4 linked regions of the Notamacropus eugenii genome follow. The protein of the gene in region 4 interacts with the protein of the main gene of each other region in a pairwise test. Links are inferred from orthologs where the notes say so. Each region holds a gene or a part of one and is shown on either strand. Other genes may lie near its edges. The genes, in order: SLAIN1, POLDIP3, TFAP4 and EXOSC8.

Region 1 (6,849 bases), on a different chromosome or scaffold from region 4:
GGTTTTTTTTTGAGCCAGAAAAACCTTTGATTAGTGCCTTATTATTATTGCTATTTTGAAAACAATACATGATTCTAGAGCTCTTCAATTACAATCATATTAGTAAAAACCAGTCCTTAGAAGACACAATAGAAAATATTGACTACTGGTTGCTTGGCTGTATCCTATATGCCATAATCGGAAAAATGGGGGAGGGGCCTATTCATCTTTATTTCATCCTTAGGAGTGTGAATTCTGGTGTAAGATGGCTGCATTTCTTTATCACATCATTCTTATTCTTGCATTTGGATGTGCCTTTTCTTTATTTCTTTTGCTAATGTGGAGCTGGGTATCTCTTTGTTCCCATTGTGCCGGTCTCTTTCCTTCTTTGTGTAACAGGAATACTGCTTACCCGCATCTGCTACTGAGCATGCGAAGAATCCTTCCATAGACCCTTTACTTAGGACTTCCACTTGAGGGACTCCACTTTTCCAGGTTTTAGTGACATCCAGAGGAGACTGGAGATATATTGAAACTCAAAAAAGGGGGAGTGCTGGGTTAGGTCTTAGTTTCTGAGAGGTGAAGGTAGATAGAAGGGGATGGTCAAGGGCAGATATCACACCAGGCTCATACTTTTGTTTATATTAAAATTTCCCTCGTTTGTTTATTTGTTTATGGATACACTTCCAAAATTCATTGCATTGGAAACTGGGATATTGATCAATAACATAAGAAGACATATCTACATATACATATGAACATATGTATATATATATATATATATATATATATATATATATATATATATATATACACATTCATAAATATATTTATTAAGCACTTATTAACTACCAAGTACTGTGCTAGTTGCCACAACTCCAGCACAAGGAATAAAACAATCTCTACTTACAAGGAGATTACATTCTAAAGTCTTAGTGCAGTCTTAAATGATTTAAGTTTTAAGTTTAGCTCAGATTATGTAAGCACCCTATTTAACTACACAAAAAGTAATTAAATAGGAGATAGCTTGGAAAGGAGAGTACCAACAGCTGGGTTAATCAGGTGTAGGTTTGTGCAAAAGATTGTCCCTTAAGCTGAGTCTTGAAGAGAGAGGGACTCAAGGAGGTAGAGGCAAGAAGCCTGTGGAATATAACCAGTGGAAATTGAAGGAAGCATGGTGTGAGGAACAGTGATAAGGCCATGTATCTGAGTAGTTCATCCTACTGGAAAATAGGAAAGCACAGGAGGTGATTGAATAGGAGAGTGACATGCTCAAATTGTTAGAAGTCCCTAAATATTACTTTACAGTTAGGAAACTGTTGTAATAATGTAAGTAATAGGTGAAGAGGACCAGAAACCAAGGGGGAAGCTGTATGAGTAGAGGATAGTGTTTGAATTCAAGAGATATGCCTATAGAAGGTGCAAGATTTAGCAAATTATTTGGGTGAAGGAAAATGAGCAAACAGTAGAGGGTAATGTGGAAGCTAGAAGACCTAAGATCCCTGAAACATGATACCTTCAACAGAAATAGGGAAATTTGTTAGAGGGGAGGGGAAGAGGGGAAGAGTTCAGTTTTGAACAAATCCAGGTAGTAGAAATTTAGGACTAGATTCCAGAATTTGGAATGAGGGTAGGACCAGTATTCTATCTTGCTGCTGCAGTCTAGTGGTTCAGGGACAAAGCCAGGGCTTCAACCACTGCCATCTAAATTCATGTGGTTTACTGTGGGGCCTGAGGTTACAAACCCAAGTATCTTTTGCTGAAGAAGAAACTAGAGGAGGAATTCCTCAGGCCTCCTGAACATTAACGGTGAGGGGACCCTCAAGATCACCTGCTTATTTGAGGTAAGTTTGGTGGGAAACGTGTGTATTCCAAGAAGGCTGGACAAGGCTTTGTGGACTCTCCCAATACCTGCATATTGTGCAAGTTCAAGGCCACCCTGGACTAGTGGGGCCTGAAGAAAGAGTCCAGGGACCTTGTCCCCATTTCTGCCCCACTGATGTTCTATGATGGGAAAGATTAAAATGTTGTCTGGATTCCTGGTCCTTCCCTGAAATCCTTGCACCTGTTGGGCTGGGGCTGACCTTGGATCCTGCTCTCTCTCTCTCTCTTTCCAAGATCTCACCTATCCTATGGGTCTGTCAGACTCCTCTTAAATTCCTACTTCTTCCTGCCCCAACTCAACCCAAATGCTGTCTCCCCCATTGAAGTCTCTCTTAATTATCTCTTCCTGGGTTTATCAGGTCTTCTTTCTTCCCTGCTCACATGTTGTCTCCAGTCCAGTCTCCTGGGTCCTCAGATATCACCTAGGTAAAATAAGAAAGTGATGACCTCAAAGTTGCTTTGTACCTTGTAGAAAGGCCTTTAACACCTTTGCTGAAGATGGAGGGAGGTTCCCACCTGGCCTGGTGTGGCCCAGGAAGGCCCATGAAAACCTGTGAAACAGTATTTGCCACTAGGGTCAATAAGTTTCAAAAAAAAAAAAAAAAAGGAAAAGCAACACTGCGACTGATGAGGTTTAGGTGTGATGGGGACACCAAAATACCCACAGTCCAGGTTGTGCTGGAATGAATTAGACTCAAGCCTTCCTAAAGCCAAAGAAAACAAAGTTTATTAAAGATTCTTAAAGATTTGCCAAATTGGGTTGGCTCTTAAGGATCCTAAGCATTTGTAACTCCCCTATTCACAAGTGGGCCAGACAGAATCTCAGCTAGACAGAATCTGAGCTACATTGCATCTGAGCACCTTCATCAAGGGAGATGGAAATAAATACAGAAAAGACTATAGGAGGCATCTGGGGGGGTGGGGGTCTGGTAGTCCAGGATGATGAGAGGAGGGGTTTAGGGAGGGTCTTGAGGAGAAGTCCAAGGACTGAATCCCAGGAGGGTCAAAGGCTATCAGGAAACTTTCAGGAGATATCAGACCTCGGAGGGTTTGGGTGGGAAGCAGGTGGGGCAATCCAGAGATCTTGAGAGAGGCTGTATGGGAATGAAAACAGATCTCGATGGGAGTGGTCAGCAGCCTGGGTAATGGGGTTTTGATGGGATCAAGGGTGGGGGAATGCAACAGAGACCTGACCAGAGTGTTAATGAAAAACCCATGGGCTTCCAGAGACTTCGGGAACAAATGGGAAGATTAGATTTGAGTAAGCAAGGCCAGATTAAGTGGGAAGATTCAAGGGGAGCTCAAGGAGGCTGCCGGAGTCTGAACCCCATCACACAGTGGTGCTTCCTTTCCTGTATGACCTTTGAGATCCCTTCCAAGGAGCAAATTTTGGTTCTGAGAAAAGCTTTGCAAACCATTGTTACTGTTCATTCTTCCTTTTCGAAGAGGACGAATGACATCACGGGGTGATCTCTTCCCTTGTGTGAATTGGATTTAAATCTTCCTACATTTTGTGTGTCTGCGTTGCAGTGCCTGACAGCTTTTCGAATCAGTTTAGCGTGTGCTCTAAGGGCTGTGAATTAACCCTGGTATTCACAACCACAGATTTTTTCTCAGCAGTGGGTGATGAATAAGCCCACAGCCCACCTGGAGCCTGAGTGCTTGTTCTCTTTCTACAGCGCGCCTCCTAAGGTACTTTGACGTCTCCTCGCCCAGCACTTTGGAAACAATGCGCGCCCACCAGGCGGGCTCTGTCCATGGTCAGGGTGAATAAGACGGGAAACTTTTCACAGTCTACAAAGACCGCTCCCTTAGCTAGGCACCTGGGCAGAGCTAAGGGAGGGCTGGTTTCCGTTCTCGCCACCCAGACCCCTAGCTGGGGATCCGGCACCGCCCTTTCACAGTTCACAGTTCCCTCTCATCAAAGCGCATCCCCCAACCGCTCCCACGTCCACGCCACGCCCCCACCCCCACCAGGCCCCCGCAAAAACCCGGAGCCGCGGAGCCCTGCTCTTGAAAGCCCTGTGGGACCGGAGGGGGCTCCAGTGAGCATGTGCAGAAGAACTTGGTGGCTGCCGGCCGCTCGCTCGCTGGCTCGCGCTCGCTCGCTCCGGCCGGGGCAGGTGGCTGATGCCCTCAGGGGGCTGGCTCTGGGCACCCGCGGTGCTGGCGGCCGGGCTCCGGCAGGCGGGAGGAAGGGAGGAGCGGCGGCGGCGGCAGCGGCAGAGGCAGCGGCGGCAGAGGCAGCGACAGCCCCGGCTCGCGGGGACGGCGGCCCCGGCCTCGGTTCCAGGGTCCGGGAGCGGAGGATGGAGGCGGCTCTGCTGAAGCCGCCGGCGCCGCAGATGATGGCGGAGCAGGTGAAGTGCTCCCCGGGAGGGGGCGGCCCCGGAGCCGGCTCCGGGAGCGTGGTGAACGCGGAGCTGGAGGTGAAGAAGCTGCAGGAGCTGGTGCGCAAGCTGGAGAAGCAGAACGAGCAGCTGCGGAGCCGCGCGGCCAGCGCTGCCGCGGCCGCCGCCGCCTCCTCCTCCTCCGGCTCAGCCTCAGCCTTACCCTCGGCCGCCGCCGCCCCCGGCTCGCACCTGCTGCTGCTCCCGCCGCCGCTGTCCGCGCCGGCCGGCGCTCTGACCGCCACCGTGCCGCCCGCCGCTGGAAGCCCCCTGAGCCCCCCGGCCGCGGGCTCCGCGGGGGGATTGGCGCTGGCCCTGGGCAGCGGGGGCAGCGGGGGCAGCGGCGGCGGCAGCCCGGCTTTCCCCGGGACCTACTGCCTCCCCAGCCCGGCCCCGACCCTGCTGTGCAGCCTGGCCCAGCCCGAGCCCCCCTTCGTCTACTTCAAACCATCCCCCGCCGGCTTCCCGGGGCCGGGAGAAGGCGGAGGGGGTGGGGGGCAGGAGCCGGGGGGCTCGTCGGCCCCGGCCTCCCCTGCCCCGACCCTGCTGGATGAAGTGGAGCTGCTGGACCTGGAGAACGGCTTCTGCAGCCAGCTGGAGGACGAGTATACTTGGTATGGTCGAACCTTTCCCAGTCCTTCTCCCTCCTTTTACTATTCCAGCCTTTGTGCCCCTCTCCTAGCCTCATCCCTGGAGCGTGTCCAGTTGCCCTGGCCCCGCGGGAAGGGGGTGTCTGTGAGGATCCTAGGTGTCCTGTGGGAGGCAGAGGGCTGAAAGGTGCCCCCTCTGGGCTCTTACGGCCTGGCCCTTCCTTTTCAGCTCCTTCCTCCCTCTTCCTCTGAAACCCTGAAGGCAACTTTGTCGCCTCCTCCCCGCAGATACAGGAAATGGTGGCAATGACAGGTGCAAACAGCTTGTGTCACGCCAGGGCTCCTGGCTCTCCTGGAGCGGGCACGATTAGTTTTCATTCCCTGGAGGGACCAAAGGAGGCTCTTTTCCTGAATCGCTGGGACCCCCCCCCCCCCCCACTTTTTTTTGCTGCTATGCCTCCTGCTGAAGAGTCTAAGTGCTGAACTGGCCAGCCACACCGGCTTGCCTTTTAATCCTACTTTTGCTAGAGTTGCTGGATCCCAGACTCCTTATTAGCATTAACTGGAAAATCCATATGATCTTGTTTGGCTGCTGTCTAAATCTACTTTTCTGTCAGTATTACCTTTACCCATTAGAAAAGCGGAATCATCCTGTTATCTGGATTCTCTCCTGTCCTCCACTCCCATGTACTACATTTGCCTGCTAATATTCCCTTTTTGCTCCTATATGAGGAACAGTTTATTTATTTGGCTTCGATCTGGGAGATCTGAGTTGGTGCAGTCATACATTTTCAGTTGCTGCATTTCCATTGATATTTTGTTCTTGCAGATCTCCTTTTGAAATTCTGACTTGCCTTGCAAAATTGCTGACTTCACTGGCTTTCTCCTCTATTGTGGATGTCAGAAACGTGGACATAACTAGGGAGTCCTAAGCATGTGTGTGCTAGGTAGACATTCGAGCAAGGAGCTGTGGACTTTGTTTTTTACTTTTAAATTCAATTGGAAATTCTTTACCTCTTTGCTTTGTCCTTTTCAACAGCAATAGCCTTTTGCAAAAGGCTTTTAATTAAAGTTCTGAGAATTTCTAATTAGTGGATTCTCAATTGATGACCAAGGTCAGGCATGGTTTAAACAGGGTCCTGGTTCAAGATTTGAAAGGGACCTCAGATCACATCTGGTTCAGCCCCCTCACTTTCCTCATCAGTAAAATGTGACCCAGGGAGGTTGTGACATATTTTCCTAGGGAAAATTAACATCACTGTCACCTAAATAACAGGGGAATGAAAATTTATTTTGGTCACTGGTTATACTTTTGAATTTGTCAACTTCATTTTTCAAGATAAGTCTTGATTCTTTTCCTATTTTCACAGTATTGCCTAGATTGCATTTTTAAAATTCAGTGAAAGAGGAAATAATAAGAAAGCTCACCAGCTCTAATCTAGGGGAAGAGACTAAGTAGGGCAGAGCCTACATTGACAAAACATTTGTTTGCCCTAGGCAAGGTTTAAAATGGTAACACCTGGTGTGTTAACTGTACCCTAAAATATTTGCTTCTCAGAAACTCACAACTTGACTATGACAGGAAACTCCCCCCATCCCCCTCTCCCCCTTGCACATTCTACAGAGGACAGAATTTGTGGCACTAAAAATATGCATTTTTAGAAAGGGACACTTTTAATATTGACTCTTTTTTTGCACGTTAAGCATCTGCTTCCATTGCCTGCCCCTAAAAGACAACTTAAGTCATTTCCCTTTTCTTTTCCTAATTACTACCCTTTAAGCGGCTTTCTTTCTGTCCTTTTGTGTGAAAGTCCCAAATAACATAAGAAAGAAAAAAAAAATCACTTAGTATTAAGTCTTAAGTGTATGGAAGCTTAAAATATTCACAAGTCTCCACAAAACTTCTCTATTTGATATCTGTGCAAGTGGTTCAGTTCATGAAACACCAAATGAACTCTAAGCATTTTGCAATTTAAATCTTATTTTCACCCAAAATTAAAATGTTA
Region 2 (7,078 bases), on a different chromosome or scaffold from region 4:
TCCCCCCTCCCCCCTCCCTCCAGTCTCTCTCTGTCTCTCATTCTCTCCCCCCCTCCTCCCCCTCCCTCCAGTCTCTCTCTGTCTCTCATTCTCTCCCCCCTCCCCCCTCCCTCCAGTCTCTCTGTGTGTCTCTCATTCTCTCCCCCCTCCCCCCTCCTCCCCCTCCCTCCAGTCTCTCTCTGTCTCTCATTCTCTCCCCCCTCCCCCCTCCCTCCAGTCTCTCTCTGTCTCTCATTCTCTCCCCCCCTCCTCCCCCTCCCTCCAGTCTCTCTCTGTCTCTCATTCTCTCCCCCCTCCCCCCTCCCTCCAGTCTCTCTCTGTCTCTCATTCTCTCCCCCCCCTCCTCCCCCTCCCTCCAGTCTCTCTGTGTATCTCTCATTCTCTCCCCCCTCCCCTCTCCTCCCCCTCCCTCCTCTCTCTCTCTGTCTCTCATTCTCTCCCCCCCTCCTCCCCCTCCCTCCAGTCTCTCTCTGTCTCTCATTCTCTCCCCCCCTCCTCCCCCTCCCTCCAGTCTCTCTCTGTCTCTCATTCTCTCCCCCCTCCCCCCTCCCTCCAGTCTCTCTCTGTCTCTCATTCTCTCCCCCCCCTCCTCCTCCCCTCCCTCCAGTCTCTCTGTGTATCTCTCATTCTCTCCCCCCTCCCCTCTCCTCCCCCTCCCTCCAGTCTCTCTCTGTCTCTCATTCTCTCCCCCCCTCCTCCCCCTCCCTCCAGTCTCTCTCTGTCTCTCATTCTCTCCCCCCCTCCCCCCTCCCTCCAGTCTCTCTGTGTGTCTCTCATCCTCTCCCCCCTCCCCTCTCCTCCCCCTCCCTCCAGTCTCTCTCTGTCTCTCATTCTCTCCCCCCCTCCTCCCCCTCCCTCCAGTCTCTCTCTGTCTCTCATTCTCTCCCCCCCTCCTCCCCCTCCCTCCAGTCTCTCTGTGTGTCTCTCATTCTCTCCCCCCCCTCTCCTCCCCCTCCCTCCAGTCTCTCTGTGTGTCTCTCATTCTCTCCCCCCCTCTCCTCCCCCTCCCTCCAGTCTCTCTGTGTTTCTCTCATTCTCTCCCCCCTCCCCTCTCCTCCCCCTCCCTCCAGTCTCTCTCTGTCTCTCATTCTCTCCCCCCCTCCTCCCCCTCCCTCCAGTCTCTCTCTGTCTCTCATTCTCTCCCCCCTCCCCCCTCCTCCCCCTCCCTCCAGTCTCTCTCTGTCTCTCATTCTCTCCCCCCTCCCCCCTCCCTCCAGTCTCTCTCTGTCTCTCATTCTCTCCCCCCCTCCTCCCCCTCCCTCCAGTCTCTCTCTGTCTCTCATTCTCTCCCCCCTCCCCCCTCCCTCCAGTCTCTCTCTGTCTCTCATTCTCTCCCCCCCCCTCCTCCCCCTCCCTCCAGTCTCTCTGTGTATCTCTCATTCTCTCCCCCCTCCCCTCTCCTCCCCCTCCCTCCTCTCTCTCTCTGTCTCTCATTCTCTCCCCCCCTCCTCCCCCTCCCTCCAGTCTCTCTCTGTCTCTCATTCTCTCCCCCCCTCCTCCCCCTCCCTCCAGTCTCTCTCTGTCTCTCATTCTCTCCCCCCTCCCCCCTCCCTCCAGTCTCTCTCTGTCTCTCATTCTCTCCCCCCCCTCCTCCCCCTCCCTCCAGTCTCTCTGTGTATCTCTCATTCTCTCCCCCCTCCCCTCTCCTCCCCCTCCCTCCAGTCTCTCTCTGTCTCTCATTCTCTCCCCCCCCTCCTCCCCCTCCCTCCAGTCTCTCTCTGTCTCTCATTCTCTCCCCCCTCCCCCCTCCCTCCAGTCTCTCTGTGTGTCTCTCATCCTCTCCCCCCTCCCCTCTCCTCCCCCTCCCTCCAGTCTCTCTCTGTCTCTCATTCTCTCCCCCCCCTCCTCCCCCTCCCTCCAGTCTCTCTCTGTCTCTCATTCTCTCCCCCCCTCCTCCCCCTCCCTCCAGTCTCTCTGTGTGTCTCTCATTCTCTCCCCCCCCTCTCCTCCCCCTCCCTCCAGTCTCTCTGTGTGTCTCTCATTCTCTCCCCCCCTCTCCTCCCCCTCCCTCCAGTCTCCCTGTGTGTCTCTCATTCTCTCCCCCCTCCCCTCTCCTCCCCCTCCCTCCAGTCTCTCTCTGTCTCTCATTCTCTCCCCCCCTCCCCCCTCCCTCCAGTCTCTCTCTGTCTCTCATTCTCTCCCCCCCTCCTCCCCCTCCCTCCAGTCTCTCTCTGTCTCTCATTCTCTCCCCCCCTCCTCCCCCTCCCTCCAGTCTCTCTGTGTGTCTCTCATTCTCTCCCCCCTCCCCCCTCCTCCCCCTCCCTCCAGTCTCTCTCTGTCTCTCATTCTCTCCCCCCCTCCCCCCTCCCTCCAGTCTCTCTCTGTCTCTCATTCTCTCCCCCCCTCCTCCCCCTCCCTCCAGTCTCTCTCTGTCTCTCATTCTCTCCCCCCTCCCCCCTCCCTCCAGTCTCTCTCTGTCTCTCATTCTCTCCCCCCCCTCCTCCCCCTCCCTCCAGTCTCTCTGTGTATCTCTCATTCTCTCCCCCCTCCCCTCTCCTCCCCCTCCCTCCTCTCTCTCTCTGTCTCTCATTCTCTCCCCCCCTCCTCCCCCTCCCTCCAGTCTCTCTCTGTCTCTCATTCTCTCCCCCCCTCCTCCCCCTCCCTCCAGTCTCTCTCTGTCTCTCATTCTCTCCCCCCTCCCCCCTCCCTCCAGTCTCTCTCTGTCTCTCATTCTCTCCCCCCCCTCCTCCCCCTCCCTCCAGTCTCTCTGTGTATCTCTCATTCTCTCCCCCCTCCCCTCTCCTCCCCCTCCCTCCAGTCTCTCTCTGTCTCTCATTCTCTCCCCCCCTCCTCCCCCTCCCTCCAGTCTCTCTCTGTCTCTCATTCTCTCCCCCCCTCCCCCCCTCCCTCCAGTCTCTCTGTGTGTCTCTCATTCTCTCCCCCCTCCCCCCTCCTCCCCCTCCCTCCATCTCTCTGTCTCTCATTCTCTCCCCCCTCCCCCCTCCCTCCAGTCTCTCTCTGTCTCTCATTCTCTCCCCCCCTCCTCCCCCTCCCTCCAGTCTCTCTCTGTCTCTCATTCTCTCCCCCCTCCCCCCTCCCTCCAGTCTCTCTCTGTCTCTCATTCTCTCCCCCCCCTCCTCCCCCTCCCTCCAGTCTCTCTGTGTATCTCTCATTCTCTCCCCCCTCCCCTCTCCTCCCCCTCCCTCCTCTCTCTCTCTGTCTCTCATTCTCTCCCCCCTCCCTCTCTCTCACCCCCCACACACAAACACACACGACGAAACTGCTTCAACGTCGGAAACTAGACTTGAACACTGAGTTTTTCGACGCAGAGACCGTTCTCTGCCCGCCCTTCTTCACTCCCCCGACACCGAGTTTGTCGCCCCCTCCTTCCTCCCGCCATAGAAACTGAAGTCCTTTCGCGGGTGTGAGAGAGAGGAAAGGTTGTCCCTCCCTAACTCCCGGTACGACGCCTGGCATACAGCCTGGCACGGTACACAATCAGTAATCACTTAAGTACCCCTCTCCCGCGACTAGAAAAGTTGTTCTAGCGAACCCCACATCCCAAACGCCGCCACAACGGAGATGGAAAGAGAAAAAACCCCACACCCCACCGAAGAGTCTGCTTTTCATAGAGTAAATGGGGGTACGGGCAGATCGCTACACCCAGGCATCCCGCTAAAGTAGGCGGGTCACCTTAGGGACAACCTGTACCCGCTCAAAAATTCTTCTCACATGCGTAGTGAGGATTCGGGCGTCACCCGAATCGTTATTTTCCTTACTCATAAGTTTAAGGCATAACCGTACTGTTTTCATAAGCGAGGCTGGGAGGTGTCCGCAGACCTATTTCACTTAGGGGTGAGTCCGGGAGCAGCTGATCACACTGAGCATAAACTGTACTGCTTACACGTCAGTTTGATAAGCTTCCGTTACGTATTTTAAAGTTTTTATGAAGGGGAGAAAGAAGACCCTTTAACATTTCATTCTCTGTATGTAAATCGAAAGTCGTCATTGCAAGGGTTCATGGGATACGTAGCCCTCCAGCCTCGCACGCTCCGCCCCCTCCCCGTTCCGGGGTGTCGCGAGATCTGGTGCGTTGGCGGAAGGACCGGGAGCTGGGCACCGGAAGTAGTTGCGTCCCTTCTCCGGCACCGATGGGCGGGGGAGCGCCGAGTGCGTGAGCGGCGCCTGTTCTCGTTTTCCGCGGCGCAAGATGGCGGACCTGTCCCTGGACGAGCTCATCCGGAAGCGCGGGGTGACGGTGAAGGGCCGGTGAGTGAGCCTCTCTCCTCGGCGCCGCTTCGGAGCTAGGACCCGGGGCCCGGAGCCTATTGAGGCACTGGCTGGGGGTCGGGTGGCCGGGGGCATCCCCGTGTTCCGGGCCCTCTGGTCCGCCCGGGCCAGGCCCTCCCTCCTTCCAGGGCCCGCCCTCTCTCGCCAGCGCAGCTGCTCATTGGTCGGGTCGCCGCGGCCGCGCGCACTCTTCACCTGCCTATTGGCTGCCGGCGACGCCGCTCATTCCTGGGCTCCGGGGAGGGCGGGGCGGCGGGGCGCGAGCGTCGTGGAGGAAAGGCTGCCGAGCCCGGGAGGGAGGCGGGCCCCGCGCCTGGGGCGAGGGGAGGGTCTCCGTAGTGCTAACCACCTTCTGTGGCTTGGAGGGATGCGACGGGGATCACGGGCCCCCCATTTCTGTGAAGTGGAGGGTTGCCGTAGTAATCCCAGCCCCCCATTTCTGGGGAGTGGAGGGGCGCAGTAGTGCTCACGGCCCCCCGTTTCTGGGGAGTGGAGGGGCGCAGTAGTGCTCACGGCCCCCCGTTTCTGGGGAGTGGAGGGGCGCAGTAGTGCTCACGGCCCCCCGTTTCTGGGGAGTGGAGGGGCGCAGTAGTGCTCACGGCCCCCCGTTTCTGGGGAGTGGAGGGGCGCAGTAGTGCCCACATTTCTAGAGCATTTAGAGATTGCAGTGATGACTAAAAATGAGAAAATCGAAATGATGGCATTCTTAATTGATTCTCTTTTTGTCATTGTCGTAGTTTATCCCGTATTTTGTGTAACTTCCCCAGTTCCTTTCTTTGTGTCTGAGTTGTTCCAGCTTCAGAAGTTCAGCCTTCCTCTCCGAGCTAGGTTCTCTCATCAGTCACCCTAAGTCAGAGAACTCTTTTATCTGCACACAGCTCAGTGTTCAGTCATGTCTTGCGAGGCACCATTTGGGTTTTTTTGGCAGAAATCCTGGAGTGGTTTGCCATTTCCTTCTCCAGTTCATTTCCTCATTCATGAGGAACCTGAGGGAAACAGGGTGAAGTGACTTGCCCAGGGTCACACAGCTGGTAAGCATCTGAGGCCAAATTTGAACTCAGGAAGACTCATCTTCCTGACTCCTGGCCTGGCACTTGTGCACCAGTGGCACCCCCCAGCACCCTACACATCTTGCTGCCCAGGCACAATTCAGGAGGCTTGTTAACTTGTCAGCTGTTAACCTTCAGGATGCAGGTGGGCTCCATAAGCATTGCTTAAGTCAGCATTGCTTAAGGACCAGGGGTTGTGCCAGTCCTGTCATTTTCCCATGTATAATGCTGCCTTCTAGCTTTTGTCCCTAAAAGGGATTCTCGTGGAGGAGCTAAAGACCCCTTTGTTGGTAGTTACTAGCCTTATCGATAACTTGACCTTGTTCAGAACATTCACTCTCTCCCTGCAGACTTTTGAGCATGGGCCTGCGTGACCCTGGGCTACTCGCCCCCTGCTCTCTGGGCGAGAGAGACACCCTGCTATTCGCAGGTCGTACGTTGACCTAGTTTCAGAATGTCATATTTTCTATGTTTTATTTCCTTTTTATTTATTTTGTTAAATGTTTCCCAGTCCCATTTTGGTCTGGTTCCTACCTCACTGAGGAGTGTTGTGGGCCTGTGTGGTTGATGCCAGCTCTCTGTACCCACTACCTGCATTGGTTAGAGGAAGGGTCTTTATCTAGGAGTTGCCCATGTCAGTGAAATCCTGGGTCCCTGCCCCTTGGAGGTGACAGGTTGAGACCATTTTATAGATGAGGCTCTGAGTGATGGTGACTGTCCAGGGACTGTGCGGCCCTTTCAGGTTGAGGCATGGTTTGAACCAGCTCTTCCTGGAGAGTTTTGAGGGTGACAGGAATAACAGACTTTCGCCCTCCCCATTTCTAAAGGACTTCACAGCCTGTTCTAGTACAAACTCCTTTTCTGTTGAGAAAATCAAGTTGATTCCGATTCTATTTTGTAATTGATTAAAGTCTGTACCACCACCAACGTTTTGTGAAGCTGCCTAGTCACCTTCCCTTGTCTTCAAGTTCACTTAGGAAATTTACAGGCTCAGAAGTTCCGTCCTCCACTCTAAATTGTTTTCAGGTTCAGTTTCCCAATTAAGGGCAGCCTGGTGGCTCAATGGATAGAACACTGGGCCTAGAGTCAGAAAGACCTGAGTTCCAAACTGGCCTCAGACACTTACTAGTGGTGTGACCCTGGGCAAGTCACTTAACCTCTCTGCCTTAATGCACTGGAGAAGGAAATGGCAAACCATTCCAGTATTTTGGCCAAGAAAACCCCACAGAGAGTAGGGGCTATGGAGTCATGAAGAGTCAGACATGACTGAACAATAACAAATTGTGTACTAAAACACTTTAATTAAAAGAAGCTTAAGAGTTCAGTTTCCCTGGGGCAAAGCCAGAATGGCTCAGTAGAAGGATGAACCTACTCTAGCTCTCCCCTCCATAACCCATAAAATACCTGTAAAAAAATGACTAAATAAATTTTAGAGCAGCAGAAGCCACACAATGACAGAGTGAAACAGATTTCCAGCCTAAGACAGCCTGGAAGGCCAACAGGAAAGCTCTATCGCACCAGGCTCAAAACAGATCGTAGCCCAGTCCAGGCTGCACAGCAAGGACAGGACTGGAGCAGGCTTCAGGGCCTGGAATCATGAGTAGCAGCTGCAATTCCCAGCTTCTCAACTCACAAACACCAAAGACAACTTCAAAGGTCAGTAAGGAAGCTCTTTCACCTGGGTGAGAGGGGAGTGCTATCTGGCCCCAGCAGCATCCATTTTTGGAACCCTTAGCCTAAAGACCCTGGGGGAATCGAGCAGCTGATCTGCGTCTCAGTCCTGAGTGGCTGTCCTAGGG
Region 3 (7,774 bases), on a different chromosome or scaffold from region 4:
ATAAGGGACAGTATCAGTAAATAATTGGCGGTGGGGCTTGGATATGATTCTCATGGGCACCCTGAGGGGTAGAGTTGGTCCTCTGATAGATTCAGGAAGGCTTCTTGAAGCACTAAGTCCAAGAAATATTTAAGGAAATGGAGAATGAAACTGTTTAAGATATAGGTGACCATGATGGTATTCCTGCCCCTGAGAAATTAATGGGATGGAAGAATTAGCAGGTGTGCCTGGGGCAAAGGTCTAGGAATTGGTTTGGGAAAGAGCATAAAAAGCTCAGATATGATAACATCACGAGGTGTAGAACTGAAAGGGACTTTAGAAGTTGCAAGCCTAGCTAGCCCCCACCTCATTATGACTTGGCCACAGTTTCTGCTTATCTCTTTGCTTCCAGTCTGGCCTCCCCCCCCAACCCTCCTCCACATGCTGACCAGATGATGTTTCTAAAGTGCAAGTCTGACCATTATTCCTCTTCTCTAAAGAAATTCCAGGGGGAATGGAAGAATTCCATTTTGACTCTAGAATAAATACAAACGCTGCAGCTTGACATTGAAAACCTTTCACAATCTGACTCCAACCTACTTTTAAAATAATAATAATAACTAACATTTATATAGCACCTACTATGTGCCAGGCATTGTGCTAAGCAAGTGCTTTAGCACTTAGAAAACTGAGGGAAACAGAAGTTAAGTGACTTGCCTAGGGCCACTCAGCTAAGTAACTAAGTAAACACTCATATAGTAAGTATTTAAGGTCAGATTTGAAATCAAGTCTTGAGTATTTAATCTGTTTCTGAACGTTTTTCTCCTTAAATGAACTCACCTTATGTTTCAGACAAACTAATTTAATGCTGTTTCTCATATTTTGCAATCTGTCTTCCTCTTCCATGTCTTTGCATACCCTCTATGCATTCTTGGAATGCACTCCTTAATACTTTTACTTCTTAGAATACTTAGCTTCTTTCGAGACTCAGTAGCTAGTGAGTTCTCTGTCCTCAAATTCTATTTACATGTTGTATTCCATCCCTATTCATCTAATGTAAGTTTCTTCGGGGAAGAAACCTTTTATTTTCCGACCATATACTTAAGTTCGAGAGATAACTAGTCAAACTTCCCCTGCTTTTACAGATGAGGAAATTGAGACACAGTGTAGGAATGTGATTTGGCTCATCTCACAGGTGGGTAATAGTAGAGTTAGGATATGAGCCCAGGTCATCTGACCCTAAAACCAGTGCTCCTTCCTTTACACATTTCCTCTCTATATTTAGAATGAGGTTCCTAACTTTTTTTAGTCTCTGTATTCTTTGGCTTTCAGTAACCAATTCCCCCATTCACTATGAAAATAATTCATTCTTAAATTTACCATTGACATGCATATAAGAAATAAAGGTTACAATTTTTGGATTTTTTAAGAATAAATTTTGGTTGGTGTCTTTTGTCTTTACACACCTAAATCCATCCCCCCATCCCTCCAGAAAGCCATTTTTAAAGAGAGAACATTTTCTAAAAACAAAAAGAAAGAGGAGGGGGAAAAAAACTCAGTGAAACCTATCAATACATAAAAACAATCTGAAAAGATTTCACAGCTGTGGACCTCTCACCTCTGTAAAGTAGTGCATGGCGGGTGGTGATGAAAACATCTCCTATCTCCTCTTTGCAGCCATGTTTGTTCTTTTGTCACTTTGTAACACTTACTTCAATTTTTTGGTGGTGGTTATTCTTTCTGTTTACATTGTTGTACTTGGTTGGAAATCGATTCAAGAAAATCAAATCAAAACATTTCCTAACATCTTTGACAAGCTTCTCATATCCCAGCTTGGGAACTCCTGGTTCAAAGCCAAATTAGAGCTTTCAAGGTGGAGTTGGTTTGGTCAAAACAATGGGAGATGACAACTTGAGCAATAGTGGTGAACACAGCCTAGAGGAGGCTGAATCCAATGAGGATGAGGTTGCTACAGTCTAAGTAACAAATGACAAATCACTTAGATTAGGACAGTGGCTGTAAGGATACTAGGGAGGGGAATAGGCTTGGGCAGTGGGAAAAAACAATTCTCACTAAAGTACCTCCTCTCTTCCACCTGCCAATTTTAACCTAGAGGTCAAGGCCTAAATCAAGATTCCTACTTCACTTCTATTCCATCCCAGAGTGATCTCTCTTTGATGATCTCTTAGTAAAATGCCTAGCACATAGTAGGTGCTGTATAAATGTTTATTGATTGACCGATGAACCTCCCACAGCACCTGTCTGGCATTTAACCATGTACTATCCCAGAATTACCATTAAACTGTTTACTGAGTATACTGTTGGGTTAATGAGACCACGAACTCCACAAGGTCTTGTATTTTTCTTTCAAGTCCCCTAGTGTTGTACTGATTGAAGTGCTGTCCCAAACTTTAGGACAATATGGGAACATCCTTGTCAGGGATGTTACAGAGAGAAAGAAATGAGAAGGGTCACTTACTGGCTGAGACAGAAAGGAAGGAGAGGGGAAAATAGCATCAGGTCTGCCCTAGAATTTGGTTATTAACAAAATTCTTTATCCTCTACTTAACATGCCAGGAGTGCTACCTGAGGTAGGGAGGTCAAGATTATTTTGGATCAGGAAATAGCTTCAGGGGAGTTAGAGCATATCTCTCTTTTTCTCTCTCCTCCCATTCCCTCTTTCCCCCTCCCATTATTTAAAGTTTTTTTAAATTCTGCCTCCTCTGTGAAGCCTCCTTAGATTGACCAGAGGTCAAAGGATTGCTGCCCTTTTTCTCCCTGGCCAAATTGGGGATGGAATTCCCAGAGACTCTTCTTGTCCCCTACCAATTATCACGGTGATTATGATTTATGTTATTCATAACATCACATTTTACTTCGAAACTGGGCACTGTGTGAACTTCAGCACTATGGTCCACAATCCATTCTTTTACTCCTATCAGTACCTGGAAAGTTTGCTGCTCCACAGTGAAGGTAATGGACTAAGCTGTCCAGATGCTCAGTCCATCATCATGTTTCCAAGACTTCAAGGCCTTAGAGAGGCCAGGTTAGCTCACTCCAGTGACTTCAACTCGATAAACATTTTTGAAGTGCTCAGCACTTGCTGAGGGGGGCACAAGAGAAAGGCATATTTCCTGCCCTCCTTGGACTTGAAATCTTACTAGGGAGATCAAACTGGGAGGGGAGGGATTAGAAAGCAATTTTAAGGCAACATCTATAGAAGTGTGAAATAACTTGGGGCAACCTGTATATTAAATTTCAAGGAGGTAGATTTTAGGTTAAACCATGAAAGTATGCAAAAGGGGGATTACGCAGCATTTAAAGTCGTAGAAGTGAGTAGATATATTCCTGGGTACAATCTGGACCTGGCCCCAACACATCATCGGACATTCCTTTTCGTCTCCAACGCTATAATCCAAACTGGCCTCTCTTTTTCTCACTTTGGACACTCCAACTTCCATCATCTCAGTGCCTGCACACCGGCTGTCCTTCACGCCCGGAACTGACTCTCTCCTTTATCGCTGCCTCTGAGTCGCTCTCTGCCTTAAAAATTCAGCTCAGGAACCATCTGCTGGAACCCTTTAGTGGTGTCCTCCAACATCTAGTGCCCTCCCCCAATAATAGCTTGTTTAAAAAAGACATCTTTTTTTAAGCTTAGTATTTATGCTGCAGAAATTTTATATGTATTTGTCTTCCCCATTCACATATAAGGTCTTTGAAAGTAAGGAGCGATACAGTTCTTGGTATTTGTATCTGAAGTGCCTAGTACACACAATGCCTGGCACATAGGAGGCACCAATATCAATATCTGTTGATTGATTATTCCTGAATAGAGCACACGGTTAATGTTGAAATACTGGGGGGGGGGGGGGGGAGAGGAGGGGAAGAATTTCAATTGCTTACTATAGAACAAACGGGATTCCTCCCTCCTTCTCTCTTTCTACAGATCCGCCGCACAGACATAGGTCTCTAACTTGACTGGATCAGTCTTAGAACTTCCTAATGGAACGCCAGGTTTCTCCCACTTGTATGAATGAAGGGCCACCCACGCAGGAGAAAGCCCGACACAGCACCCAGGATGTGTGAGAAATGAGGCTGCGTGTGTGTGTGTCGGGGCATACTGGGCAGCTTTCTCCTCACCAGGGACATTGCTGGTCTGCTACCTCCCACCACTCCCTCATTTCCCTGCTCATTCCCGTCTTGTCTGTCCAGCTCGGGGCCCAGCTTCCTCGTGGATAGGCTCGGAATTCAAAGCCACGCTGCCCCTTTCCCGTGCTCAGAAGCTCCCTTCTCCCAGCTGCAAGGCTGGGATTCCCAGGGCAGCAGCCGCAGAGGCAGCGGCGGCGCAGGTAGCGCCCGGAGCCGCGGCAGGGGAGGAGTTCTGGTGGCAAAGCCAGCCAGCAGGCTGGGACAGTCGGCCGGCCTCTGAAGTAAGCCCCGAAGTTCCATGTGGGAAGTGGTAGTTGTGTGACGCAAGTTTCCAGGGGGCTCTCCACTCCGAGGGAGCTCTCGGGAGCGGGCTGGACTCGGTGCAAAGTGAAAAGAAGTGGAAAACAGCCCAGCACACTACGCATCCGGAGCTTGCTTCCTCGCTACCGCTGCTGCTGCTTGCTGCAGAGCAAGGACCAACCTCTAATCCCCTTTCTCCTCCTCTCCTCCCTACCACGCCGTGGGCTGGGGGTGCAGAGCTGCACGCACGCCCCTCCAGCACCTAGGGCAGGGTCGGGGCCGGACTCCCGGGGGCGCGCTGCGTTTCTCTCAGTGGCTGGGGTGGGTTTTTTTTTTTTTTGCAACGCTTGCCAACCTGTCAGCTGATGGACCTCATCACCCATAGTGGCGCATGAAGCTCAGACAGTTTGCTTCATTCACACAGTCCCTTCCCAGCCCGCCCACCGCACCCCCCAGCCCCCTGGGCGGAAAAGAAGTAGTGCGGGCCCCTAGCCAAAGGCTATCCCCAGGGTTCCGCTCCCCTCTCGCCCCAGTCTCCCGCCGGCCCGGGGGGGCGCTGCAAATAGTCCTTTGTTTACATGCAATTCCTTACTCCGCGGAAGGAGGCCGGGGGAGTGCTGAGTTTTCACCAGCTGTTTCCCGCCTTGAAACAGACATCTGATCAGCTGCAAACACACATACACACACACTCACACACACGGACGGGGAGGCAGGCCGGAGAGACCTCCCCCTCCCTCCCTCTCCCTCCCCCCCCTTGCCGCCAGCATCTGGGACCGGGAGAGCCAGCACCTCCGACGCTGCCCTTTGATTCGGATTTCCATTTTGCATTCTCCAGCGGATCGGGACCAAGGACTTGGCTTTTGCAGAGGAGGGGGGGGCCGATCGCTATGGAGTATTTCATGGTGCCCGCTCAGAAGGTGCCCTCTTTGCAACATTTCAGGAAAACAGAGAAAGAAGTGATAGGAGGGCTCTGTAGGTGTGTACCGCTCCCCCTCCCTTTTTTTTTTCCCTAATGCAACCCCTGGCCAGCCTGCCCTCGGCGCATGTGTGTGCATGGCATGGCACCGGCCCGACTCCTTTCTTAGGCGCCGCCGGGAGCTGAGGGGCTGCTGCACCGCGTGCGGAGGCTCGCAGGGGCTTCTCCTCTGGAGCGCCGGGACCCCAGGCAGCCCCTAAGTGCGCCCCAGCTACTTTTGTCTGGTGCAGGAGAGCGAGTCGCGACGTTTGTAAATTGCAAACAGACCCACGTGGTTCTGCAGCAGTCCCGGCCATGCTGGTCGCTTTCTCCCCCTCTTCCTCCTCCTCCCCCTCTCCCGCGGCGGCTTCCTTTCCCTCCTCCCCTTCACTCTGGCTCTTGCTTGGTGCTGAGAAAGGCTTTTTTTTTTTTTTTTTTTGCGGGGGGAGGGGGGAGGGACAGGACTCCGCGGGGTGCTGGCTTGCGGGGCTGGGGCGTGCACGGGGCCAGGTTGCAGGCGACGGTAGTTACAATGCAGCCATGCTGCTCCTCCGGGCTGCTCTGGTCGGGTGGGGGTGGGGAAAGGGGGGAGGCGATGTGCGTGTTTGCAAACAGCCGGGTAGGAAGGGGGGGGTGTCCCTTGCTGTCGGTGTGTGGTGTGTGCGGTGCGTGTGCGCGCGCGTGGGTGGCGTGTGCGTGTGGGTTCGGGGCCAGCCGGACGCTTTTGGAACGAGCCGCCCGGGACAGGGCCGCCGGTGACCCCTGGGCACGTTGGGGGCGGCTCACCAGCGCTGGGGCGCTGTTTACCAGCGAGGCCTGGACGTGACTCTGCAGCCCTCTTGGAGTAGGCGGATCTCCGCCCGCCGTCTCCTGGGAGATGTAGTTCTCGCGGGCCCCTCGTGTGCGGGATTGTGGGAGCTGTAGGCGCTGCCCGGGCCACGCTTTCCATGCACAAAGCATGGTCCACGCGGGCGGGGGAGGGGCAGGGAGCTCGGGACGGGACGGATTTACCGCGAGTTGCGGGGTAGGCCCACCTCCCCCCCCTCCCCGCCCCTGGTCTGGGGCCACTTTCCCCCCTCTTGCCGCCGGTTTCGTTCTGTCCCTTTCCACGTGCGTCTCTGCTACAAACTCCAGACAGCACGTCCGCCAAGCCCAGGCAGAAACTGAAAGAATTTCGTGTCCAAGCCCTCGCTGCTTGGGTAGGGTTGGCCCTTACTACCCAGCAGGGACTTTAACTTCGTGCGAATGGTTTGGGGGTGTTGGGCAGCCCCCCCCCCCCGCCCCAATAGGCTCTATGACTGGCAAACGCCATGTATCTGGGCAGGCGGCTGCTACTTAGGAGCAGCCGAACCCCTCCCCCGAAAAAACGCCCCCAGACTCTCGGGACGTATTGGGATAAATTGACTGACCAGGACTTTCAAGGGACACGACAAGTGGGACTCCGTCTATTTCCTCACTTGTTTATGCTCAGTAGGGAGAATTTTCTGGAGTCTTCTGCCCTTGCACACCCAGACCCCCACCAATTTACCTGCGCAGAGTCGGAGTTGGAACCCCTCCTAGATTTCCCTCCTGGGAGTAGGGTAGTGGAGAGGTGCCCTGGTAGAGACTGGAACTCTTGGCTTACAGAACTAAGACTAGATTGGCTCATTGGGGGGAAAGGGAAGGGGTCTCCTGTTGAGAGCAGAAAGAATGAGAGAATTTTAATCAGTTCTTAGCCTTGGATCTTCACTTTAAGTTCACAGCCAGGATCGGTAGATTCTTCCCATTCATACTGTCTGTCCAGTTCTGCTGATCACATAACCAAAAAGTAAAATAAAGGGCTTGAAACCAGATAGTCTCTCAGGTGTCAGGGCTAGTGTCATGACATAACTTTCCCTAGGATTGACATTGGGGATGTAGAGAAAACCCTTATAGTGTAATGGAAATAGCTGTGGACTTAAGACCTCTTAATATGTTGTTTGACCTTGGCAATTTTATTTTATTTCTCTCCAAGCCTCAGTTTCTTTAGCTGTGTTGTTCAGTCTCATCCTATTCTTTGTGACCCCATTTGGGGTTGTCTTGGCAGAGATTTTGGTGTGCTTTGCCATTTCCTTCCCCAGCTCGTTTTATAGATGAGGAAACTGAGGCAAAGAAGGTTAAGTAACTCCTCCAGGTCACACAGTTAGTACTTAAGTGTCAGGTCAGATTTATATTCCCAAAGATGAATCTTCCTGCTTCCAGGACCTGTACTCTTTCTACTTTGCCACCTGGCTGCCCCCTTATCTGTGAAATAGTGATAGAAACCTTTGAACTACCTACTTTACAAGTTTAAAGAAATGTATGAAAAGTGTAAGTTTGTTGTTCGTATGAATAAACCTGATGCCGTCCTTCAGACAATTTACCTATGAAATA
Region 4 (7,121 bases):
TTAACACACTACTATGTAAACTATTTTATTTTGACTAGCTTAGGTTTTCCATTATGTTCCATACAAAGTAAATGCCTGAAAATAAAATATTTTTTATGATTTCATGTTACCAACAGGCTTATCCTAGGAATCTTAGTTTCTCAAATAATTTTTAAAATCTGAAAAATTAAAAATGAATTCCAATTTTGATGCATCCAAAGAATAATCATATCACAATTCGTGTGTCATTACTGAACTTTTGTTTCTCTGGCCTGTGTTACAACCATTATTAATCCTTAAATTGCTCTTTGGAAATAAAAATAAGAGCCTGATAAAAATGCTACTGGATTTTCCAGTCTACTGCAGTGTTAGAGACATTCATTATCATCTAAATAAGAGAAATGAGAAGCCTCATGGCAAAAGGATAATGAGCTTCCCTGGTAGTAAGGAAAACCTAGGTTTAAGTCCAGCATCTGACACATCCTCTATGTCATGCTGGCCACTACGTAACCTGTCAGTGTCCCAGGTAAGTCTCCAAGACTCCATCTGTATTAGTAGAGAGAGTATCCTCACCAGGAGCTCCCTACACTGGTGAAATCAAAGGTCTGGTTAAAAAAAAATGATCAGTGAAACTAATCTGGTAACTTTTTTAGATGATTAAATGAAAAAGAGACCTACCGCTTTAACTCCACAAATTACTGTTGTATTTCCCAACTTCACTAAAGCAGAACCATCTGCAGTAGTAATTGAACCTGATATTTAACAGATTAAAAAACTTATTAGAAAAAAAATTTCAAAAGTCATCTTACCAGTAATTATTACCAGGTTTAACAGTTTTGTCCATTTGATTAAAAACTCATCATGGCTTTACGTGTATTTGGAGGTTCTGGTCAAGTCAGTGAAATTTTGCTTCTAGTTTGCCTCATCAGTCAGCGGACAAAATCTAATTCTATCTAAAGTCAAGTCCAATTCAACAAACATTTATACTGTGCCAGGTGCTGGAATATAAAGACAAAACCCAAACAATTCCTGTCCTTGAGAGACCTGTATTCTTTGAGGGGGTACAACTAGTATACTGATAAGTACAATAAGAGGAAATTTGAGTAGAAGGAGTATCAGAAAGGATGTACAGAAGGCAGCACCTGAGAAGAGCTGAGATAAGGAAGGAATGCATTCCTAGCAGGAGAAGCAACACACAAAAAACACAGAGATAGAATGTAGAGATTGAGGAACAACTAGTAGGCCAGTTTGGCTGGACTATGAAATTGTGTAAAGGTCAATAATATGAAAGAAGACTGGAACAGTAAAGAGAGTCAAGACTAAAGGGCTTTAAGTGCCATGATGAAGAGTCTGCATTTATACCAGAGGCAACAGGGAGCCACCAAACGTTTCTGAACAAAGAAGTGCCAAGTTTATTACAGATAAATGATATACTTACACAGATTAACACAATCAAGTGATTATCCTAAAGTAAATTTCATTACAAAATGTTTTGAATCCTTTGCTTTATTAGATTTGATTGCTGCATATTGCTGGAAACAAACTGGGACTTACTAATATTCCATATAGAAATTTTTATTGTAGCTACATTTGTTAAAATAAGATTTGGTTTATTATTCATAAGAGAACCATGATTCCAATTTATTCCATTACTCCATCTAGCTTTTCATAAATGACTCATATACTTAAGCCTGTGTCAACAATTTATGACACGCATACAGGAACAAAATCTTTTGGTTAAAAAAAAAAGCATTTCCAAAAAAAAAAACCACCAGAAGAATTTATCAGCAGTACAGAACAAGCGCTACATAGAAAGTTGGTTTGGTGTTGGAGCACTTACGTTTCTTTTCAGGACGCTGAATATTCTTACCTATATTGACAGTAGTGGTCCTGAACTCCCCCAGCTCCCTTCCATCTGGACGGCAGTTCTCTTTCTAAATAAACAAACACGATTCCCATATACTTTCCTTAATCATACCGCAGGCATATCATTCCCTCATTCATGCTTCTCCATCATGTCGTGTGAACCCCGCAAAGGCCTCCCTGAAATCTCATGTGAACTTTACAGTGACGTAACAAGGTGCTCTACCGTTAAGCCCGGATGACCTTGGCCAGGCACTTGACCTAGGCCTCAGTTTCCTCATCTGAAAAACGGGGGGACTGAACTAGATGACCGGCCTCCTCCACTTCCAAAGTTCTAGATGTACCCCGTTGCTTTTACTTACCAAAAATCTCCTATAATACTCCAGTGGTTCGACTGTTCTGAAATGATTGAAAATACAATTTATTTTTAAAGATTCACAAGCACACTAAAGCCAACACTGTGTTTCAAATTCTCTTTCTGACGTTGTAACAAAAGGTGTCTAAATCTGTGGATCCCTCACATGGATTCACGCTACGTCCTTAGCGTCACAAAATGCTCTTGGCTCGCACGGGGTCCTCCCGGCGCCAGCTTGGCTTCTTTAAACGTCTAGTTTTATTTAGGGCTGGGCTTTTTAACTGTGGCAAAGACGCGGCTCGGGTCAGCCTCTGTGCGCAGACCACGCGGCCGGCCCATCGGGGATCCGACGGCAACGAGCACGGAGGCTCCGGAAAGAAAGCGCGGTCTGGACCCGCCTGGAGCTTCCTGCCCCCCGCGCAGCCCGCCCCGGCCCGGGCACTGGGAGACTGGCCCGCCTCCCCTCAGGTCAGAGGCGCAGAGGTTACCCTGCGCAGCCGAGGGCCCTGAAACCCGACCGGCTCCCCGACGTGCCACTCGGGGGAGTGGAAGCGGGGCCCACGGGCCGGGGATCCCAGGGCGCAGAAGGCCCAGCCCGGCCCGCTCGGGCAGGCCGCGGGGCTCGGCTCTCCTTCTGAGGCCGCAGACGCCCCCGGCGTCTTTCCCTCGCTCCCCGCACCCCTCCCGGCGGAGTCCCCCGGGGAGACTCACTTGAATCCAGCCGCCATGTTCTACGCGTCCCACGTGTTTCCCGGCGGCGGGAGCCCGCCCTCCTCCGCCGCCGGCGCCCGCTCCGCCTCCGCACATTCGACACGAAACCCGGCCGCTCTGCCTGCGCTGGGACGGAGACGGTTCGGGAGGCGACCACGACCAGCTCCTGGCTTGGTGGCCTGACCCTGAGCGAAGCGGTAGCATCTCTCGTGTTTTCCTTTGATTTCGAATTTTAGCGAATCTCCATTTGGGGAAGTGAAGAACACGGCTCGGGGACGTCCGGTTACGGGGCATCTCCCGGCGCTGCCCCTTCGGGGTTCGTGGGGAGCGGTGCGCTCCGGGCCGTGCTTTGCCCGGACGCCCAGCGCGGGCACCGCGGGCAAGTTTTGAACACGTGTTTCCTAAAGTTTGCAGACGACAGATGGGGGGCCCGCTGCAGCCGTCCGTCTGGCCACGTCACCCTGCGCGGCTGCCCCCCAAGTTCCTCCCCTTCTTTCGAGGAAGACGGGGAAGCTTTCTTCACCCAGACGTGTGTCGCGCGCGAGCACGGGAGAGAGTGGCCTGCCAGCACCGAGGGGGCACCTGCCGCCCACGGGGTGACTGCGAGCACCGGCACGGTTTTGGTTTTCTTGTTTTTACAGGTAATCCATTATACACTGTATAAAAGCACCACTTAATATACTCAATTCCTTGGGAGATGGACCAAAATATCCATCTCTCGGAGATATCGCCCCGGGGAGTGAGACGAAGTACGGCCGGGACTGGCTTTAGGCTCCTGGAGCCAGGTCTGACCGAAAAATGGGACGATCCCTTTTCCCTCCAGGAACTTAGTATCTTAAAAAAGAGCCAACAAATCCAAGCCCAGGAGGAGCTCTGAGCTAAGACCATCTAGGACCGGAAACGCTGATGGTGGGCGGGGCAAGAGGCTCGGACTGCCCATGCGCGGTGGGAGCCAGCCTGTCAAAGCGAGGCACATTGCCGACAGGCGGCGCTGTGGGAGCGGGTCGGGAAGCGGGTCTAGGCCAGGCGTCTCTCCCGACGCTGGAGGCGGGGCGCGGCTGCGGGCCGTAGCGGCCGAACTGTCGGCGCTTCCGCTTAGGTGTAGGTGCGGGATAGGGCCAGATCCAGCGAAGCTGCGGGCCCTGGGGATGGAGGATGGTGCCCTTCGTGGAGCAGCCGGCGGTGCTCTTCTTGGTGTTGGTGCCCACGGTGCTGATCCTGGTGAGGAGGGGGAGGGATCCAGGACTCCGGCCCGGCGGGCCCGCCTTCCCCGAGGACGATTCCCCTCCCGGGCTCCAGGCCCTGGCAGCCCTGCCCAGGATCTCCGACCCAAACCCCTGTCTCCAGCCCTCTCAGCCTTGCGAGCAACCCCACTCTCTAGTCCTCACCCTTGGCCCTAGACTTAGAACTGGAAGGGACCATTTTACAGATGGGGAAACTGAGGCCTGGCGAGAAAGTCACTTCAGACTCAAAGTCATTAATTTTCAGACGCAACTTCTCTGCCTCCAAATCGGTGCCCTTTAGACCCCACCTTCCTGCCTCTCTTCTCTCCAGACTAATTAGCACACCCTCTGTTCTGGATCCTGTGACCCTGAGATGTTTCCTCTTCATTTCTTGGGCCGCATGCTCCAGTCTTTGTCCGCATTGCCTAGGAAAAGTGATGGCAGGACAGTGCCAGAAGTAGCTCCTTAGTAATAACTGAAGGGGAGATGAATAAGTCAATGAACGAATGAACGTAAGAAAAAGCTCTCCTGTGCTAGGTAATGTGCTAAGAGGAATGAATGAATGAATGTGTGAATAAATGAAGATAATCCCAATTGGAAGAAAGAAGAGGTAGGGGTGCATTTAGACTATCCCATATGTTTAGAAGGAAGGAGAGAAAAATGAGTTTTAATTTGGACATGCGGAGTTTGGTATCCCCTTATAAAGACCCCCGATCTCATTGTTATAAACTGTTATAAGGAGTTTATTCTTGTACTTTCCACTCTGGTAGAATAGATACTTCTAATAAATTATGAATAATTTTAAAAGGAAATTTTGGCTAATGTCTGTAATAGATGGTACTGAAATGAATCTTTCTAAAGAGTAATACTCTAGGCAGTGTGTTTAGTAAATGCTGAGTCCATTTAGTAAATGCACTTCTCAGTTCTCCACTTCCAGTGTAACTGGAAAAGGTCCTCACTAGATGAAGCAATGTACATAATTATTATCTCAGTATCTTGGGACTTGTATCTGGGTAAGAGATGAATTCTAACAGATCATTTTGTCAAATTGGGCAGTATTAATTTTTTTCCGGTAACTTAAAAGGCATACCTGTTTGGAGCTATGAAGAATCCAGCATTTGCCCCACTCCTCAAATTGAAGTCATCACACATTGAAGAATTATCAACAACATTTATTTATGAAACATCTTATGTACTATGTATGCTATGTCCTAAGAAAACACAGAGGGAGAAAATCATCTTTAATAATCTGCAATAGAAAAGCCAAGGTATTGCCTCAGCTACTGACATCTAGGGAAACACTACTTTTTCCTTCCTCAGTTCTTGCTAGACCTGTTACTTCTGAGAAAGGGACATAGGAAAACATTAAAGGAGCAGAGATTGGTTACAGAAGAGGAGGGATCTGTCTTCCCTTTCTCCTGCTGCTAGGGATCCTCCTGTTGGTGGCTGAGAAAAGCAGGTGGACCCAGGAGAAGGCAAGGGAGTAGGACTGCTAGTCTTGGGGGAGATGATACGGCAGATACCTGTGAGCACACGCACACTGGACTGGTCCAGACTAGATGCCCCAGAAGCATGTTAATCTTGATAGGTCTAAAACTGAACTCGATATCCTTCCTCATAAAGATTTCTTTCTTCCAGTCTTCCTTATTTAGGTTAAAGGTTCCATCCTTGTGGTTTCTCAGCTTCATAATCTTGGCATTATACTTTCCCCTTACTTGCCTTGACCCCACAAATATCCAGTCACTTGCCAAACTTGCCTTTTCTGCCTTTACAACATATCTCACATCTGACTCCTTCACTCACACAGCCATCACCTTCAGTTTTCCCTAGATATCTTCTCATGTTGCTTCTATGTTGTGCTGTGCACCAAAACCTAGCTCTCTCTGTAAGATGCTGGATTTTCTGACTTTTTTTCCAAATCTGGCTACTTATATGTCACAACCCCAAACATACAAGACCAGGAGGAAGAATTGGCATATTTCTTGCTCCCTAGTATTCTCTCTGCCACTGTCACTCAACAGCCAACTCTTTTTCCTTTAAGGCTCATTGTGTTATCCTTATGACTGAAATCTCTGGAACTCCAAGACATTCTTTCTTCTCCCTAATAAGTTCAGTGCCTGGCTTATAGACCTCTTCATCCCAGCCTAGCCTCACATGACTTCCCAGTTCTTCTGATTCAGCTCCCATGATCTGTCTCCGGCTTACTTCAGCGATACACAGGAGTGTTCATACTTTAGCTTAATTTACTCCAGTTCAAGAATCTCTAATTATGGCTTTCCTATCAAGGAGCTTATATTCAATTGGAAACTTACATTCAGTCCATATAATGAGTTGTGTGAATTAAAGTGGATAAACTTTAAAGCTGTACAAACAGTATTTTACATTTGGGCCATTATTTCTTGATCAAATGAATCTAGACAAAGATAATTAATTGATTCAGCAAAACAACTGTTCTGTGTATATCATCATGGTAGGTGCTGGGGTTGTGGTCTAAAAGCTCAGTCATGGATCACTGGTTACCAGAGAAACAAGGCAGCAGCATACACAGTGGAAAGACCATCTGGGTTCAGATTTCACTTTTGATACTTGGCAAGTCACTTAGCATCCTTAGGCTTCAGGAACTTAGACTAAATGGTCTAGGTACCACTAGATGGAAGTGGAGGTGAGACTACATTCCAGACTGTGAGGGGATATTGTGTACAAAGACATGGAGATGGAATTGGAATGTTATGTATGAGGAGCAGCTAGTAGGCCAGTTTTGCTACATAGTACAGTACATAAGTAGAAATTATATGAGGAAATATAGTCTGAAGTCAAATGAATGGCATTAAATGCTAAGCTGAGGAGTTTACATTTTAATCTAAGGCAATAAATAACTATTGAAGAATCTTGAGTAGGAAAGTGATACAGTCAGATCTGTGTTTTAGGAACATTATTTTGGAAATAAATGTGGAGGGTGAATTGAATAAGAGAAAGACAGAAACCAGGAA

What was found.
Region 1: the proteins of EXOSC8 (region 4) and SLAIN1 interact in binary tests that used the Homo sapiens proteins (3 or more experiments, as listed by UniProt). The link is inferred for Notamacropus eugenii from reciprocal best matches to the Homo sapiens genes EXOSC8 and SLAIN1.
Region 2: the proteins of EXOSC8 (region 4) and POLDIP3 interact in a two-hybrid assay, tested with the Homo sapiens proteins (2 studies listed by BioGRID). The link is inferred for Notamacropus eugenii from reciprocal best matches to the Homo sapiens genes EXOSC8 and POLDIP3.
Region 3: the proteins of EXOSC8 (region 4) and TFAP4 interact in binary tests that used the Homo sapiens proteins (3 or more experiments, as listed by UniProt). The two-hybrid records come from large-scale screens. The link is inferred for Notamacropus eugenii from reciprocal best matches to the Homo sapiens genes EXOSC8 and TFAP4.

What each region holds. Positions count from the first base shown.
Region 1 is NC_092877.1:259,227,674-259,234,522, reverse strand, and holds the start of SLAIN1 (SLAIN motif-containing protein 1), read left to right. Parts: upstream 1-3,841; 5' UTR 3,842-3,914; coding exon 3,915-4,867; intron 4,868-6,849. UniProt on the Homo sapiens protein: Microtubule plus-end tracking protein that might be involved in the regulation of cytoplasmic microtubule dynamics, microtubule organization and microtubule elongation.
Region 2 is NC_092874.1:301,431,019-301,438,096, reverse strand, and holds the start of POLDIP3 (polymerase delta-interacting protein 3), read left to right. Parts: upstream 1-4,059; 5' UTR 4,060-4,150; coding exon 4,151-4,209; intron 4,210-7,078. UniProt on the Homo sapiens protein: Is involved in regulation of translation. Is preferentially associated with CBC-bound spliced mRNA-protein complexes during the pioneer round of mRNA translation. Contributes to enhanced translational efficiency of spliced over nonspliced mRNAs.
Region 3 is NC_092872.1:58,665,084-58,672,857, reverse strand, and holds the start of TFAP4 (transcription factor AP-4), read left to right. Parts: upstream 1-4,759; 5' UTR 4,760-5,006; coding exon 5,007-5,404; intron 5,405-5,874; exon of another isoform or gene 5,875-5,906; intron 5,907-5,922; exon of another isoform or gene 5,923-6,330; coding exon of another isoform or gene 6,331-6,407; exon of another isoform or gene 6,408-6,582; intron 6,583-7,774.
Region 4 is NC_092876.1:98,499,227-98,506,347, reverse strand, and holds the start of EXOSC8 (exosome complex component RRP43), read right to left. Parts: upstream 3,003-7,121; 5' UTR 2,926-3,002; coding exon 2,909-2,925; intron 2,242-2,908; coding exon 2,205-2,241; intron 1,914-2,204; coding exon 1,820-1,913; intron 732-1,819; coding exon 658-731; intron 1-657. Other genes in the region: ALG5 (dolichyl-phosphate beta-glucosyltransferase), read left to right, coding at 4,064-4,129. UniProt on the Homo sapiens protein: Non-catalytic component of the RNA exosome complex which has 3'->5' exoribonuclease activity and participates in a multitude of cellular RNA processing and degradation events.